Oryzias latipes: one gene and its partner. The protein of the gene in region 1 interacts with the protein of each later gene in a pairwise test. Links are inferred from orthologs where the notes say so. Each region holds a gene or a part of one and is shown in the gene's direction. Other genes may lie near its edges.

The links.
Region 2: the proteins of pex12 (region 1) and pex10 interact in a two-hybrid assay, tested with the Homo sapiens proteins (4 studies listed by BioGRID, with this or other methods). The link is inferred for Oryzias latipes from reciprocal best matches to the Homo sapiens genes PEX12 and PEX10.

What each region holds. Positions count from the first base shown.
Region 1 is NC_019866.2:23,909,509-23,917,782, reverse strand, and holds pex12 (peroxisome assembly protein 12), read left to right. Parts: upstream 1-2,522; 5' UTR 2,523-2,787; intron 2,788-4,953; 5' UTR 4,954-4,963; coding exon 4,964-5,086; intron 5,087-5,152; coding exon 5,153-5,676; intron 5,677-5,764; coding exon 5,765-6,131; 3' UTR 6,132-6,678; downstream 6,679-8,274. UniProt on the Homo sapiens protein: Component of a retrotranslocation channel required for peroxisome organization by mediating export of the PEX5 receptor from peroxisomes to the cytosol, thereby promoting PEX5 recycling.
Region 2 is NC_019865.2:33,556,945-33,564,785, forward strand, and holds part of pex10 (peroxisome biogenesis factor 10), read left to right. Parts: intron 1-2,408; coding exon 2,409-2,489; intron 2,490-2,559; coding exon 2,560-2,957; intron 2,958-3,461; coding exon 3,462-3,628; intron 3,629-3,718; coding exon 3,719-3,854; intron 3,855-7,759; coding exon 7,760-7,828; 3' UTR 7,829-7,841.

The sequences.
Region 1 (8,274 bases):
CTTCAATACTAAAAAATAGAAGAGATGAAGAAGCTCCGATAAAATGCCGTCCATTTAGGAATGACTGCTCAAACAGCAGCAATGGGGAACCACAAGCTAAGGATCGTGCACGTCAAATTGGTGCAAAGGAGATTGTGGAATAAGCGCAAAGGCTGCTGGAACAAACAAACAGACTCCAGCCCCTGAAATGGTCTGATTTCCAGTTATCACAAGTTACGGTTGATTTCTGTCATTTGAACACAGGAGTGGAGCACTCAGACCACTGCAGCGCACTATTTCCCCTTTTTCCCTGCAGCAAAAAAAGAAAAACACAACTGTGTCAGCTTTTGTTACCATGACTGGTTCCATATCAAGCTCAACAATTGCAATTCCTAATTCTTTCTGTCTAATGTAAACATATTTACTAAAACAGAAAATACAAACACTTTCTACCAGTTTTTGTGATGTTTTTATCTTCTTTTGGATTTGTGTTAAAGTTGCACCAGTGAATTCCCATCTTCCAGGTATGCAAGACAAAAATGCACAACACTGCCTGCAGCGAAGCATCATCTTGGCAAATTATATTGCATGTTCAAAATTGATTTGATTTGTATCACTGCTCCCAGTTTTTTGTAAGTCCTACCAGAAAGCCCCATATTTAATTTGTATTAAAAGCATCTGTGCAAAATGCATAAACCGTGTTGTCATGTCTGTTTAGAAGTCACCTACTAAAGCCAGAATGGAAAGAAGTTTGTGTAAATTATGTAAATTGTGCCTATGGTTCCTTTTTAGATCCACATGAACTATACTAAAAGTAATGGGAAGTAAGACAGGAGCTGTAGATCCACCAAAATACTTCAGAAAAGATCATAAAACGTGGATACTTTATTCTTTTTGTCCCCGTAAACATAGACCCTGATTCACCACATGAAATTACAAAAACTCAAGGAACTTTGACTAAAAGTCAGAAAAGGCAAAGTAAGCAACAGTACACACACACACACACACACACACACTGGTCAAACCTTTACTTGTAAATGAAGTCCATTCGTGTCTCCTTCTGGACAAAAATCTCTGTGACTTTAACGTAAAAAACCCTTCTTATCTTCTTTCCGTTACAGAAGTCTCAATAAAGATGTGTGCTCAGCGTCGGCCATCCATTAATTATTACTTAATGTTATAAATCAAAGTCCACCTTTGAATCTTTTTTCTTTTTCTTTTAACTTGTTCTTTCCAACAACTGAGCAAACAGATGAGAGCTGGCGGCCATTTCCTTTGGACAGGTTTTACTACAATAAGGGGGTTATGTATGTATCTTCGGATAAGGGTGTATAGCCCATCGAGACGACTGTTGTTGTGATTTTGGGCTATACAAATAAAATTGAATTGAATTGAATTGAATATATTTGGATAAGCCCCTTTTTTTATTTTATTTATTTATTTATTACAAATTATATTTTAATATATATTTTCTTTCTCTTTTCTTACAGAGGGAGAAGAGAGAGGAAAAATGTGAAAGTTTTTCTCTGCAGAAGACATTGGACTCGTGAATAATCGTTACAAAACTCTCATATCAATTAGATTTCGAATTCTTGAAATTGATGACGACATATTTGCCGTTAAAAAAAAAAGTAGTGAGCATGGTGTCCAAATTACTTTTAAAATCCAGAGCACTACATAGTGCTGTACTGTGTAGTTTTTTAGTAGTTAAGGAGTAGGGTAGGAATTCAGACACAGCCACAAAATACTGGCTCTCATTGAATAAACTTTATTAGTAACAAATGTGGAACAAACGAGTTCACCAGCGCCCTCTCTGTTGAGACGGTGCTACTGCGTACCTCAACGACTTATCTTTTCAGTGCGGTTTTGTGTCACATTTTTAACACAAACGAGACATACATGAAACACATTAAATGTTAAATGGGAAGGGATGACATGCAACAACATTTTGTACAATTAAAGTTTATTTTAAAATAAAGCATTACATTTACGCTGTTATATATTTGGGGTGGTTAAGGGGTTGCTTTGCTAAAAATCGTATTGAGCCTAAACATGACCACACTCCATGGCACAGGACATGACAACGTCAAAAAAGCAATAAAAAGCATAAACAGTTAAATTATAACAGTAAAATATAAATTATTCTTGGCCTGTTTGGATTTTGACCAAATGAGGAGGAAAGAACCTGGCGGAAAATTATAAAAAGAAAAAAAAATAGAGCACCGCAACAGTCTGATGCAAAGTGACTGTTTTTTTGTTGTGAAAATGTTTTGGTTTATGAATAAATACACATAAATAATTTATACTAACAAGCAGATCTAAGCATAACATTATTAATTATGGATAATAGTAGATCAGGTTTTCCATAGTTGATGAAAACAAAAAAAGATTGAAGGATGGATAAAAAAAAGTGTTTCACTTTATCTACGCATGATTCTATCTTTAAAATAACAATGCAAGTCTTCTTAAAGCACATTTACCTTTTTTTTTCTTTTTTAGCAAAGCAATAAGGATAGAAAAGGAATTATTAGACGATGTGCTTGCAGACAAAAGCTGAAAAACTCGGGAAGTTTCTGTTGGAACGTCTGGTTGAAATGAACTGCAGACGTCCCGCCCTGCGCTTCCGCCTCTGTCCAGCAGGTGGCAGCAACGCTGATGAAAGCTGACAGTTCAGAGAAGAAGAGAAGGCGGAAGAAACAAAACCAAATCACCAGAACCGATCCGAATCTCTGCAAGGAGCCTCCAACGCCGTGGTTGGGATCGATACCAACAGTCCAGTTCTGATGCTGAGGGCGTGAACCCGGCCCGGTTTGTTTGTTTTTTTCTTTTTATCTTAGTGTTCCCGCCTCGAACCGGACCGGGTTGGTACTGATCAGGCATACCATAAGTCACTCACACAGCTGTAACGTGGCTTTTGAGCCGGTTCTGTTCGGATCTGAGTTCAGTTGAAGTGAAAGAATCGCAAAAAGTTCTGATCGCGACTGCGCATGTCCAGACATCCATGTGCCTTAAAAAGAGAACGTGTTTGGCACGGTAGATTGTTGTTGTTGTTAAAATGTGCAAACTACAGCAAACATACAGAACAAATGGAACTATTAAAATGCTAGGAGATGGCATATGAATACAAAACATGCATCATAATAAATTAAAACTGTTCATAGGCAGACAATATGTATTTATGATTATTTTGTTTAACACTATGGGAAATGGTGAGATTCTATTGCTTGAATTCTTACAGGGAAAAAAGTTGGGATGAAGAGAATGTAGCTTTGTGTAGATGAGACTGAAAAAAATAGAATCTATACAGTACAGACCTCATTTAAATGAATGGGAAGGTGTGTCCAAACCTTTGGTCTGTACTGGATGTCAATTGCATAGGTTGATTGGCAACTCTAAATTGTCCATAGGTGTGAGTGTGAGAGTGAATGGATGTCTGATTGAGGATATTCTACCCTGCGACAGACTGGTCGCCAGTCCAGGGCATCCCTTGCCCACGCCAAAGTGGCTGGGATAGGCTCCGGCAACCCCGTGACCCCGAAAGGGAATAAAACGGTTAAGAAGATGAATGAATGGATGTCAATTGCAATTTTTATGTTCAATTTTGTGTTGTTTTCATACATTCTTTTTTTTTTTAGGTAATATCTCACTCTCTAAATAAGTCACTAATTGTTTCTGGGTTTGTTTTACAGAGTGTACAGTTGTATTGACATGTTTTAAATCTTTACATGAACTGATTAGTGGAGTAGATTCTATGTAGGAATTCATTGATTCTCAATGAATCATTTCTGAGGCACTGTCCAAACATTTTTTCAAGTCAGGGACAAAGTTTTTCTAACAGAAGACAGCAGAAGAAACAGAAAAAAACATGTTGTACGTGGTCACACAGGTGGGCCTGTGGATTCACAGGTGGGCCTGCAGACTCTCAGGTGGGCCTGTGGATTCACAGGTTGGCCTGTGGATTCACAGGTGGGCCTATGGATTCAGAGGTGGGCCTGTGGATTCACAGGTGGGCCTGCAGACTCTCAGGTGGGCCTGTGGATTCACAGGTGGGCCTGCAGACTCTCAGGTGGGCCTGTGGATTCACAGGTAGGCCTGTGGATTCACAGGTGGGCCTGCAGACTCTCAGGTGGGCCTGCAGACTCTCAGGTGGGCCTGTGGACTCTCAGGTGGGCCTGTGGATTCACAGGTGGGCCTGTGGATTCACAGGTGGGCCTATGGATTCAGAGGTGGGCCTGTGGATTCACAGGTGGGCCTGCAGACTCTCAGGTGGGCCTGTGGACTCTCAGGTGGGCCTGTGGATTCACAGGTGGGCCTGTGGATTCACAGGTGGGCCTATGGATTCAGAGGTGGGCCTGTGGATTCACAGGTAGGCCTGTGGATTCACAGGTGGGCCTGCAGACTCTCAGGTGGGCCTGTGGATTCACAGGTAGGCCTGTGGATTCACAGGTGGGCCTGCAGACTCTCAGGTGGGCCTGTGGATTCAGAGGTGGGCCTGCAGACTCTCAAGTGGGCCTGTGGACTCACAGGAAACGGTAACAAAGTGACCTTAATAAAGTTCATGCAGAGATTTCTAATGGGAACCTGGTCCATCTTATAAAAAACCTCTTAGAACAGTTCTTAGTTTTCCCGCTCCGATCATTTTTTGATCTATTCACCATTATGTTGTTTTTGACTAAAATTTTTAAAAAATCTGTCGTTTTCTAGGACATAGTTCCTGCAGAGTGGCAGGAGTTCATTAGAAATTCCCCTCTGAACTGTGGTGCACAGCAACCCCGCCCCCCGTTTCCATCACATATAACATAGACCTTTTTGTCAACACTCTGTCCCTCACACCCCCAACCTAACACTAGCAGAAAATGGCGAGCAACATCAGAGCCATCTAGCTGTACAGTTTGGTAAAAATTGGACCCAGTCTGTTCTGGTTCTGGACCCACCTGCACCGTTCCTCTAACATCCAGTGGTTTGGTCCCTCAGGCCGGCAGCCATGGCCGAGGCGGGGGCCCATCTCACCTCCACCTCCATCGGTGAGCAGCCGTCCATCTTTGAGGTTCTGGCCCAGGAGTCGCTGCTGGAGGCCGTCCGTCCGGCGGTGCAGCACGCCGTCAAGGTGAGGCTCCAATAGTTCTGGCTCCTCACTAGAAGAACGCCAGCTCTGACTCTCTGACCGCTTCAGGTTCTGGCGGAGTCCAGCCCGGCCCGCTTTGGCTGTCTGTGGAGGACTTTTGATGAGCTCTACTTGCTTCTGGACCTGCTGCTCCAGAACCACTTCTTGTCCCGCTACAGCGCCTCCTTTTCTGAGAACTTTTACGGCTTAAAGAGAGTGTCAGAAGGGCGGGAACGTCCTGTGCACAAGGGGCTGCGCCGTCCCGCCCACTGGCGCTCTCTTCTTTTGCTGTGCCTGGTTCCGTACCTGCGGGCCAAACTGGAGGCCCGGCTGGTCCGGCAGAGGGATGAGGAGGACTTCTCCATCCAGTTGGCACGGTCGAGGACACGGAGGCTGTACAGCGCGGCGGTGGCGGCGTTCCCGTACATCAGCTCGGCGTGGCGCGTCTGGGTCTTCTGCCAGCAGCTGCTCTTCGTCTTTGGATCCTCCAGAACCCACAGCCCGCTGCTCTGGCTGGCCAGGGTCCGACTGACCCGACTGACTGCTGCAGATTTCCGAAACATCGAGGGGTCTGACGACCCCGCTCACAGCAGGTAGACCCAGTTCTGTCCTGGTTTTAGAGGTTTAGGTCCAAAGTGGCAGAAAAAAAATGTTCTTAACCATGTTTCTGTTTGGCTGCAGGGTCGGTTGGATGATGTCACAGGCGGCGAGGGGCGTGGCCACCTCTCTGTCCACCTTCCTGTCCATGGGCGTCTTCTTCTTGCAGTTCCTGGAGTGGTGGTACTCGCCAGACAACCAGAGCACCGTGAGGGGTCTCACGTCCCTGCCTGCACCCCCGCCCCCCCTCCACCTGCAGCAGGACTCGAACAGCCGGAGCTGCCCGCTCTGCCACAAGTTGTGCGCCAATGCCACGGCGCTGTCCACCTCCAGCTTCGTCTTCTGCTACCCGTGCATCTACGCGCACGTGAAGGAGCACCGCTGCTGCCCCGTCACAGGCTTCCCCAGCGCACCTCAACACCTCATTAAGATCTACGCGCCTGAGGGTTAGAGCGACGGCGCCTCCCGCTGGACTCACGCGTCCGCTGCTGAGAAATAAAATCACCAAGCCGTAGGCTTTTCGAACTGGCCCTGAACGCCACCGTCTGAAATGAAAGTCCCGCCCCAAGCGTCAATCTTTATTGAACTGAGCTCAATCAGTTTTGGCTCCTCCCTGTCCGGCGCTCAGAGTCCATTTGATCTATTTCACCAACAAATGAAGGAAGAAATGCTTTTGATGAGGCAATAAAGAAGTTCTGAATAAGATCAAAGTGTTTTCTGCTATGATCTCTGTTGTAGAACCATTGACTGCAAATGAGAACAGGACTGAGTGACTCCTCCCCTTTGGCGTTTCAAACAGGAAGTACCTGCTGGTCCAAGAAGCCAAAATTCCTTCTATAGAGAAATAAACAGCTGTTACTCATTCTATTGGTCAGAAGAACCGTTCTGGATCTGATATCTTTTTCCAACATAAACCTGATTGTCCTCATTTTTTTGTTTCTTCAAGTTACAAACCGTCCAATCAGATGCCTTATTAAAAGTAAGTGGTTCGAAATGCTTGATCGACTGTGTTCTTGTAGCTCGCTTTCAAAGGGGTGTGGACTTCCAACAAGCTCTCTCCGCTCCTGACGAGTAACTTCCATGTTTTTGATTTAGGGCACCTCGTGCCAAATGACTATCGGGTGAAAAGGGGAACAAACATCAGTGCCGTCCCACACAGTAGTACCTCCCACTTTCTTCTTCTGCCTCATTTTTTAGTGTTTCATTCTGATTTCTGGAAATTACTTTGTTTTTCGAAATGTTTCCCTTTTATTTTGTCTCTTTTTTCTGAATCACTTTTTTTTCTAGACATTTGTTTTGGGGCTGCATGGTGACAGTGGTTTGCATGTTTGCCCCCAGAAAAGAAGGCTCTGGTTCAAATCCCAGGCGGGACCTTTCTGGGTGGGGGTTGCATGTTCTCCCTGTGCAAGAAAATGGATGGATTTGCTCTTTTTTTATTGAAAAGTATATGAAAGATCACAACAGAATAAAAAAAACAATGAACAGAAATGCTATTGTGACATTACAATACTGGGAAATGGACAGGGGGTTCTTTGTTTGAAATAAAATATTTGGGGGGGGAAAAGGTACGGTGGCCCTAAAGTGCAAATCACTCAACATAAAACAATAAAGATCATGACAATGAAAAAAGGAAATTAATGAACAAAATCGTTTTGGAAATGCAAACAAAATTCCGCCCAAAAAACGTTTCTGATTTCCAGAAATCATAATGAAACGTTAAAAAATGAAACCATAAAGAAAAGGGGAGGTACTGTGAGACATCGCCGGTTGGACAAAATTGCATGGAGTGACAGTTGGTGTCATTTGCCCTTCAGGGCCACCGTACAAAGGTGTTTGTTGACAGGGGTAATTATTAGTGAACACCCGGACTTTGAGGCAGAAAGTGCATGTCCCTGGTGTGAGTGGACCCTGGACCGTGCAGCGTGTGGGTCAGAACACTGCAGCACTGCAAACACTGTGGGAACTGCTTTATTGACGAAGGTAACAAGAAGCCCACTAAAAAAAATAAAATAAAGGAAACGGAGAATCAGAACCAACATCACAACATTACAGTGAGAGTAATAAAAAGAGGCTTAGAGAAAATGTCCACGGCGGGAGGGGAGGGGAGGGGGGACGATCCCTTTTCATCTCCGTCAGCAGGAACGACACGACAACCAGCGGCAATGGTACCCCCCCCCCCCAACAAAGATTGCGTCATCGAGCGTGTACACACACACGTGAATGGTAATATTTTTTACGTGTGACTGAGTGAGACCATAGTGGCAACAAACACTGAGGGGGGGGGGGGGGGGGTGGAATGTGATCATTTCAACACAAACAGAAACTTTAGTCAAGAGTTAAACAACAGTAACAGAGACCCCCTCCTTTAAGGAAAGCAAATAAAAAAGTCCAAACAAAGCCCCCCCCCCTCCCCCAGACATCACATGAAAAGCCCAAATGTAGCAGAACGATGTGCGTCTCAGTGTGCCTAGTTCTGCGGCCTCTGGACAACACCCCCCTGCTTACTGCGCTCCCCCACAGCAGAGTTTTTGCTGACAGCACCAGCTCTTCAAATCTTTCAGGTTTCATGGGATTGGTAAAACTAAAGGCACCAA
Region 2 (7,841 bases), on another chromosome or scaffold:
TTGCGTAGCCCCCTGGCATTAAAAGAAACAAAAGATAGTAAACAGATTAACTAGAACAATAAACAACACACAGAAAAAAGATTTTGTTTTATAAAAACTATAAAGTTAGTTAACAAACAGTGCAATATCGAGAACAGCACCAAAATAAATTTTAGCAGCTTTAGGAGAAAAAAAAATGTTAAACTCCTTTTTTTTCCCCTTTCCTCCCCTTTTTTCCTTTCCGCCCCTTCTTCCTCCTTCCTTTGTGACCCCCCCATAAAAACAAAACAAGAGGGAATCATCTCAAATAAAAAATTGAAAAGGGATTTGGGAGGGGGAAAATGTCCTGAGAATACAGATGAGAACATACTGGACCCCTCACATGGTTGGAGAAAAACAAAAAAAATAAAAACAAAACAAAAAAAATCTCTCTTCTTCATTCATTTTTCTTTCCTTTCTTTAATCACGGGTGAATTTCTGATCCATTAATAAATCCACGGCCTCCCACGAAGTAAGCCGCCTTTCCCTCCTCGCGTGCTTTCTTGATTTTCAGCCACAGCTCCTGCCGATTCTCCCTGTCCTCTTTAGTTAGGTCCTCGTTGAAGTGCAGGCCTTTGGCTTGGAGAAACCCGTTCTTCTTGGCCGCTCTCCAAACCTCTTCCTTCAGACGCCGGGAGATGAATCTGATCAGAACCCCTCGAGGCCTCGGGTCCTCCTGGCGTTTTCTTCCCATCCGATGAGCGACATCAACAGCATCGGGAAACTTTTTTTTTTCTGAGGGCAGAACATGCTGGCGAATGTTTATCACCTCCTCACGCACGTTTTCCTCTTCAGCCTCAGGAAGACCGTAGAGCCTCAGATTCCATCGTCGACCATAAGCTTCCACATCTGCAACCCGTGCCAAGCATTTCGATGTATATTCCTCATTTTTTTCCACACGTTGTTCCATAGCATCAACTTTGTCATTTATGAGTTTAATTTCGGAACGGACAGTTTCAACCATTTTTTCAAGAGCATCGCTTCTTGAGTTGATCAGATCGGCGAGCATGTTGACTGCTTCATCCGATTTCATAGACCAGGGCAAAGTAGGCCTTTTAGCAAGAGGAGGCTTACTTGGGGTCACTGGGAGTGAAGGAAATTCTTCCTCTGAAGTCACGGGTATGTCCATGCTGCTGCCGGAGTAGTCGTGCTCGTCGGCTAGTAACAAGGTAGCGGAGCTTTGTTTTTCTTTTGAAGATTCGCTTCTTTTAGGAGGTTTTGGCATTTTGAATGGTGGGAATTTTTAAAAAGTATCCAAAAACTTCAATCCACAACGTTCCCCGGTCGTTTTAGAGAAAAGGCAAAATCTTGCTGCTTCAAAAAAGCTCAATAAAAAAGTTAGGTGCTCGGAGCTCGATATAAACAAACCGGTCACGCCGCCATTTTGCCGGCCCCCGGAATTCCACAACTAGACCATTCTGACTGCTGTGGTCATTCTGTGTAGACTGTAGTTTGGAGAACACTGAAACATCGAAGAATATTAGGAGAACAGGTCTAAAGGCACCAAGACACTGTTTGATAAATACCTATAAGGTTTGAGTCACCAAAACATTAGAGCCTGATTTAGTTTGTTCACAGTCATCTATCTGGCCTTTTCTGATTGAACATTAACAGTCATTTTAGTATCTTGGGTTTAAAATGAGGCTTCAAATAGATTTTAGCGTCACTGGACAAAGAAAAACAAATGAGAGAAAGATTGGGAAATTGTTGTTTGACATTTTTATCACAAAACAATGATAGAATAAAACACACACACATTTAGGAAAAGTCAGGGTCCTTTTGGTTCATATTATTTTTGTAACAGTTTTGATGCTGAAAAGTTTGAAGCAGTCAAAAGGACCGCCGTGAAACCGTCAAAGTGAAAACCTTTACTGTGATGGGACTTTCTAAACATTCTGAAATGCAGCAATTCTAACTGACTAACAAAGTCTTTAGGGTTTGACGGTCCATATTTTTTTGTTTTTTGAATCCATCTGTAGGCGTCTTTGATCTTTAAGTTTTCCTGGTTGGTAGTTTTCTTCAGACTGTCCAGACCAGGGGTCCCCAAATCCAGGCCTCGAGGGCCGGTGGCCTGCTGGTTTTCCAGAATCCCTGCCTTATTGCTGATTACCTGGATCAGGTGTGTTTAGCCAATAAGGAGCTTCAATGTCAGGTTGGTTGGAAAACATGTAGGCCTGGATTCTGGGACCCTGGTCCAGACTGTTCTTGGTGCCACTGCCCTGCTTCTTCTCAGTTACCTCTGCCCTCCAAGCGTCTGATTGGCTGAACTCACGTCCAGGAGCTCAGCAGCAGACCGGACACACCTGTCTGAGGGCCTGAAATTTTCAGCTTTCTTTCCTCCATCAGGAGGTGTTGGGTCAGTGAGCTGACGCGGTCTGGTGTGTGTTTAGGATCCAGACTCTGGCTGCACTGGAGGAAGGAGGTGGAGCTTCTGTCTGACGTGACTTACCTTAGTCTGACCACACTCTCAGGTAAGCTTTATCTGTCAGACATGAAGGCGGCCTCTATTGACGCAACTCAGGTGTGGGTTTGGCCTCACAGGTTTTCAGACGTTGGGGGAGGAGTATGTCAACATCGTGCAGGTGGACCCCTCCAAACGGCAGATTCCCTCCCGGGCCAGGCGCAGTCTCTTTGTCCTGTTCCATGCCTTCTTTCCGTACCTGCTGGACAAGCTGCTGGTGTGTCTGGAGAACGAGCTGGAAGGCAGTCAGGATGGCAGGCGGCGGGCAGCATCGGCTGGGTGGGGCCTAAGCTGCTGGCTGAGGCTGTGGGTGCAGAGGGGGGTGTGCCTACTGACAGGGGAGCAGAGGAGGGTGTGGCTTTCAGCTGTGGGCATCGCACAGCAGACTGTGGCGCTTGTGCACCGCCTCCACACCACCCTCTTCTACCTCAGCAGCTCCTTCTACCACCTGTCAAAGAGAGCGGCTGGAATCAGCTACGTGAGTCCTTCATGCACCACATGGGGGGGGGGGCAAGGCACGTGACGGATCCCGGCCAATAAAAAACATCTGAAATGTGTCTTTTAAACCACAACTTTGCCTCCTAAACTGTGGGCATGGCAACGATACAGACCATCTGTCTGATGAAAACTGGTTCTTTAACGAGGTAACCAACGGAATCGCAGACAGAACATGTTTGAAGGAAAATCACATCCAAACTCTCACAAGCATCTTAAACATTCCCTTTAAAAATGTCAGGATATTTCCTGAAAGGAGAAGGAAGCTCCTGCTATTGGGCCTGAAGCAGGTCAGGGTGGTCCTTTCCCATGAACAGCACCGTTCCAAAACATACTGGGGGGTGGCTGTCACCCATGGCAACAGAAACAGAGAACGAGGCAAAATACTGATGCAAAAACAGTTTCAGCAGGAGATGCATCATGTTTGTGCACAGCAGCTGAGGGCAGGTTAGACAGGTTGGTGTGATGGGCTTTTGCTGTGGTGCAGCTGCGGGTGGAGGGCCTACGCGGGGACGACGCCTCAATCAGGACAACCTACAGGCTGCTGGCTGCTGTTTCGCTCCTGCAGCTGCTCGGCAGCGTGGCTCTGCAGGTGGGCAGCTTCAGGCAGAGACAGAGAGCCCGGCAGGAGTGGAAGCTCTTCAGAAGCCTCAGGTCTGTCTCCCCGAGTCAGGTCTATGTTACTGACAGACTGTTTTATCTTTGAAGCAGTTTTCATCAGTGAGGCGATCTCTTTGTTTGCAGTCCTGATCGCCCTCAGAGCCCCGCCCCTTCTGCCGCCCGCTGCATCCTCTGCCTGGAGGCCCGGAGGAACTCCACCTGCACACCCTGTGGACACCTGTTCTGCTGGGAGTGCATAACTGAGTGGTGCAACACCAAGGTAGGTCTGGCGTCCTGAAAAACAGAGCATGCAGCAACACTGCCCCTCTCCCAAAAAAGACCTAAACATCCCGGTACACTACAGTCCCTGACAAAAGTCTTGTCGCTTATCCATTTTGTAGAAACAAAAGCGTATAACCTCACTGTTAATGAATCCATTGGTTTTAGAAATGTCTCATATGAAAGCTAAAACCCTCCCAAATTATGTTCAATATACTAAAATATAATTGCTTCACTGAAGAAAGATTGATCATTTAATGAACACAGAAAGGTCACATTTTGGCAAGACAAAAGTTTTGTTGTCTACAGAGAGTAATGTGAAAATTTAACAAATAATTTACTTCAAAAACAAAATTATGTTGCATAACATCAGTGAATTAAGTAGTGCTACTGTGAGATCCATATTTAATATCTTGTATGACTTCCAGGAGCTTGAAGGACAGCATCCATGCGGTTTGACAATGATTCATACAATTTATGGATGAAGTCATCAGGAATAGCAAAGAAAGCAGTCTTCCATGCCTCCCAGAGTTCATCAAGATTCTTTGGTTTGGTCTTCCATGCTCCCTCTTTCATTCTACCCCAGACATGCTCAATGATGTTCATGTCTGGTGACTGGGCTGGCCGGTCCTGGAGCACCTTCATCTTCTTCGCCTTGAGGAACTTTGATGTAGAGATGGAAGTATGTGATGGAGCACCATCCTGCTGCAGAATTTGACCCCTTTTATGGTTGGGAATGGAAGAGGTAGCTAATACTTCTTGATATTTTAGGCTATTGATATTGCCTTCCACCCTGCAAATGTTTCGCACACCCCCATACAGGATGTAACCCCTGACCATGATTTTTCTGCCACCAAACTTAAATGTTTTCTGGGTGAATCTTGAGTCCATGCGGGCTCCAGTTGGTTTCCTGTGATGTAATTCAACTGAAGACTCATCTCCACCGTCTGCCACTTTTCCAGCGTCCATCCTTTTAGCAGGCTCTGGGCCTTGGCAAATGCCACACGTTTTTTTCAATTGCCTTTTGTTTAGTGCTGGTTTCTGGGCACTGCTTGGACCATGGAGGCCATTTTCAGATAGAACTCTACAAACTGTTCTGGTTGACACAGGGGCTTGAGGTGACCAGGCCTGGTGGAGCTCTGCTGCAGGGGAAAAGGGGCTGGCCTTGGATTTTCCAACCAACAAACGGTCCTCCTGAGCAGTTGTCTTGTGGGGTCTGCCGGACCTCGGCTTGTCAACAACATCTCTAGTCTCTTCAAATCTTTTTCTTATTCTTTGTACTTGACGCTGAGACACATTGAAGGTGTCAGCCACCTCAGCAGTGGATCTGGTCTTCAGTCTCTTGATAATCAACGCTTTGGTCTCAGGGTGAATCTTAGGCATGTTGTCAGAGGTCAGGTTGCAGTTGATGTGAAGGCCTGGTGTGCTGGGGTTCTTTTTAGACACACCCACTAATTGATTGATCAGTAATTGCTCACAGGTGAGGCTGTAATCTAGGATTGGGTGCATCATATGACAAGGCGACAAAACTTTTGTCTTGCCAAAATGTGACCTTTCTGTGTTCATTGACCCTTGTGCTATCTTAGATGACCCCCCCCCCCCCCCCTTCCATTGAGGTGTTCTCCCTACCATGACAAAGGTGGATAAAGGTGGAAAGATTTCATTTAATCCATGGACACCAGTGAAGATCACAAATCATTGAAGAAAAAAGGTTCAGAGCTCTGTCTAGTGGGTCTAGATGACCCAACTCCCAACGTTAATGTGCCTAGGATAGCACAAGGGTTAAATGATCAATCTTTCTTCAGTGAAGCAATTATATTTTAGTATATTGAACATATTTTGGGAGGGTTTTAGCTTTCATATGAGACATTTCTAAAACCAGTGGATTCATTAAAAGTGAGGTTATAGGCTTTTGTTTCTACAAAATGGATAAGCGACAAGACTTTTGTCAGGGACTGTATATTACCAAAAGTATTGGCTCGCATGCCTTGACTCCCATATGAACTGAAGTGCCGTCCCATTCCTAACCATAGAGTTCAGTGTGATGTGGGTTCACCTTTTGAAACTGTTACAGCTCCAACTCTTCTAGAAAGGCTGTCCTCAAGGTTGAGGAGTGTTTCTAGGAATGTCTGACCATTCTCCCAAAAGGTCATAGGTGAGGTCACACACTGATGTTGGTGGAGAAGGCCTGGATCTTAGTCTCTGCTGACTATGCAGAAAGTGGGTGACCTCTTTGCACTCTGAGCTTCAGCATCCTCTGACTCCTCTCCATCAGGTTACCTGGTCGACCACTTGGTGGCTGAGTTGCTGTTGTTCCCAAACTCTTCCATGTTGTCCTGATAGAGCTGACAGCTGACTGTGGAATATTCAGGAGAGAGGACATTTCACCACTGGATGTGTTGTACAGGTAGCATCCTATGACAGTTCCACCCTTGGATTCACTGACAGCGGCCCATTCTTTCACAAATGTTTGTAAAAACAGTCTGCATGGCTGAGGGTTTGATTTTATACACCTGTGACCAGGATGAGTTATTAGGACACCTGATTCTGATCATTTGGATGGGTGAGCCAATACTGTGGTTATACAGTGTATGTCTGCACTGCATCAGCATCCGGGTGTTTGTGTGCATGAAGCAGAAGGTTCATTCTACGGGGAGCATTTATTCTTCTTGGACAAACTCTGCACGGGGGGTTCTGGTCTGATGCTCCCTGCAGAAAATCCAGTTCAGGCCGTTTCAGGTTCATTTTCACAGATGTGATTGACAGACGCAGAAAAACCTGCAGTATGAAGAAAGATGCTGGACTGAGGTCCAGAACCACAGAAAACGATGCTGCTGATGTCACAGTAAACGACCACATCCATGCTCGTTAAATACATTTGACTGTTGTTTTTTTAATCGAATAAAGTTATAAAAATGTAAAACTGTTAAGGAATGGCAAAGTTTCCAAACATTGAACCTCCAAACCATTTTTAAAATACTAGAAGCCAAAGTTTGGGAAAAATGCTTTTTGCTGATTGGATTGGCCTGATGTTAATGAGAAACTTGATTACTTTGAGGATTTGGGCAGCCCCTCCCTCCGCTTGTCATGTCATCTGCTCTGAGCTTCTGAATATTGAATGAATGGAAATTAGTAAAAACTCAGAAATGCTGTAAAACTTTTGGGAAATCTGCAGAAAACAATGTAAAAACCATGGGAGAGGTGAAAAAGTGGAGTAAAAAGGAGAGAGCTCTGGAGGAAGTTTGGATATTTCCTTCAGTTCTTAATTCTTAAAAAATATTTCCATGTTTTCTAGTGAGCGTGAACCATCTATACATTTCAAAACTTTAAAGTCGAGAAAAGGAAAGAACCTGCTGGAAGAGTGTGGGTTAAATAGTCTGTGTGTACTCTGGGGATTATGTGAGTCCAATGATTTCTGATTTTCGGAAGGATAGACGGACTTTCACATGAATCTTAAATTATTTAAAATCCCAATGAAGGAATCTGGTCTAATCTGTGTGAGGAGTTCTGTTTGGGTTTTAAACTCTTCCCCTTCTGTCAACGGTCCATTCAGGATGAGCTCTACTTCACCAATGGTGTCTTTCTGCATAAGGTTCAGAGAAACCCATTCAGGTTGAGAAAGTAAATGTTTTCTTCAGACCATCACTGGTCCCGGTCCAACAGTCCTGTTAAAAACAATGGCAGATGAAGCTTTGGGCCGTCTGCTGAGGCGCCTGAGGATTTGCAGATGTTTATTCTTCCTTTGTTTCTGAAACAAATCCCATCCTAGCTGACCTGGACCTGCTGTCGGTGAGCAGGCATGCGTGCACGCTCCTCTAGGAAAGAGGCCGCAGACATGCTTGGGTCCAGCTAGAGGAGCCAAAGCTAGAGCTAAAGACCCGTGCTGATGTGTGCTCCTGTCCTCAGGCCGAGTGTCCTCTGTGCCGGGAGACGTTCCTGCCCCACAGACTGGTGTTTCTCAGGAACTTTAGCTAGAACAGCAGGACCG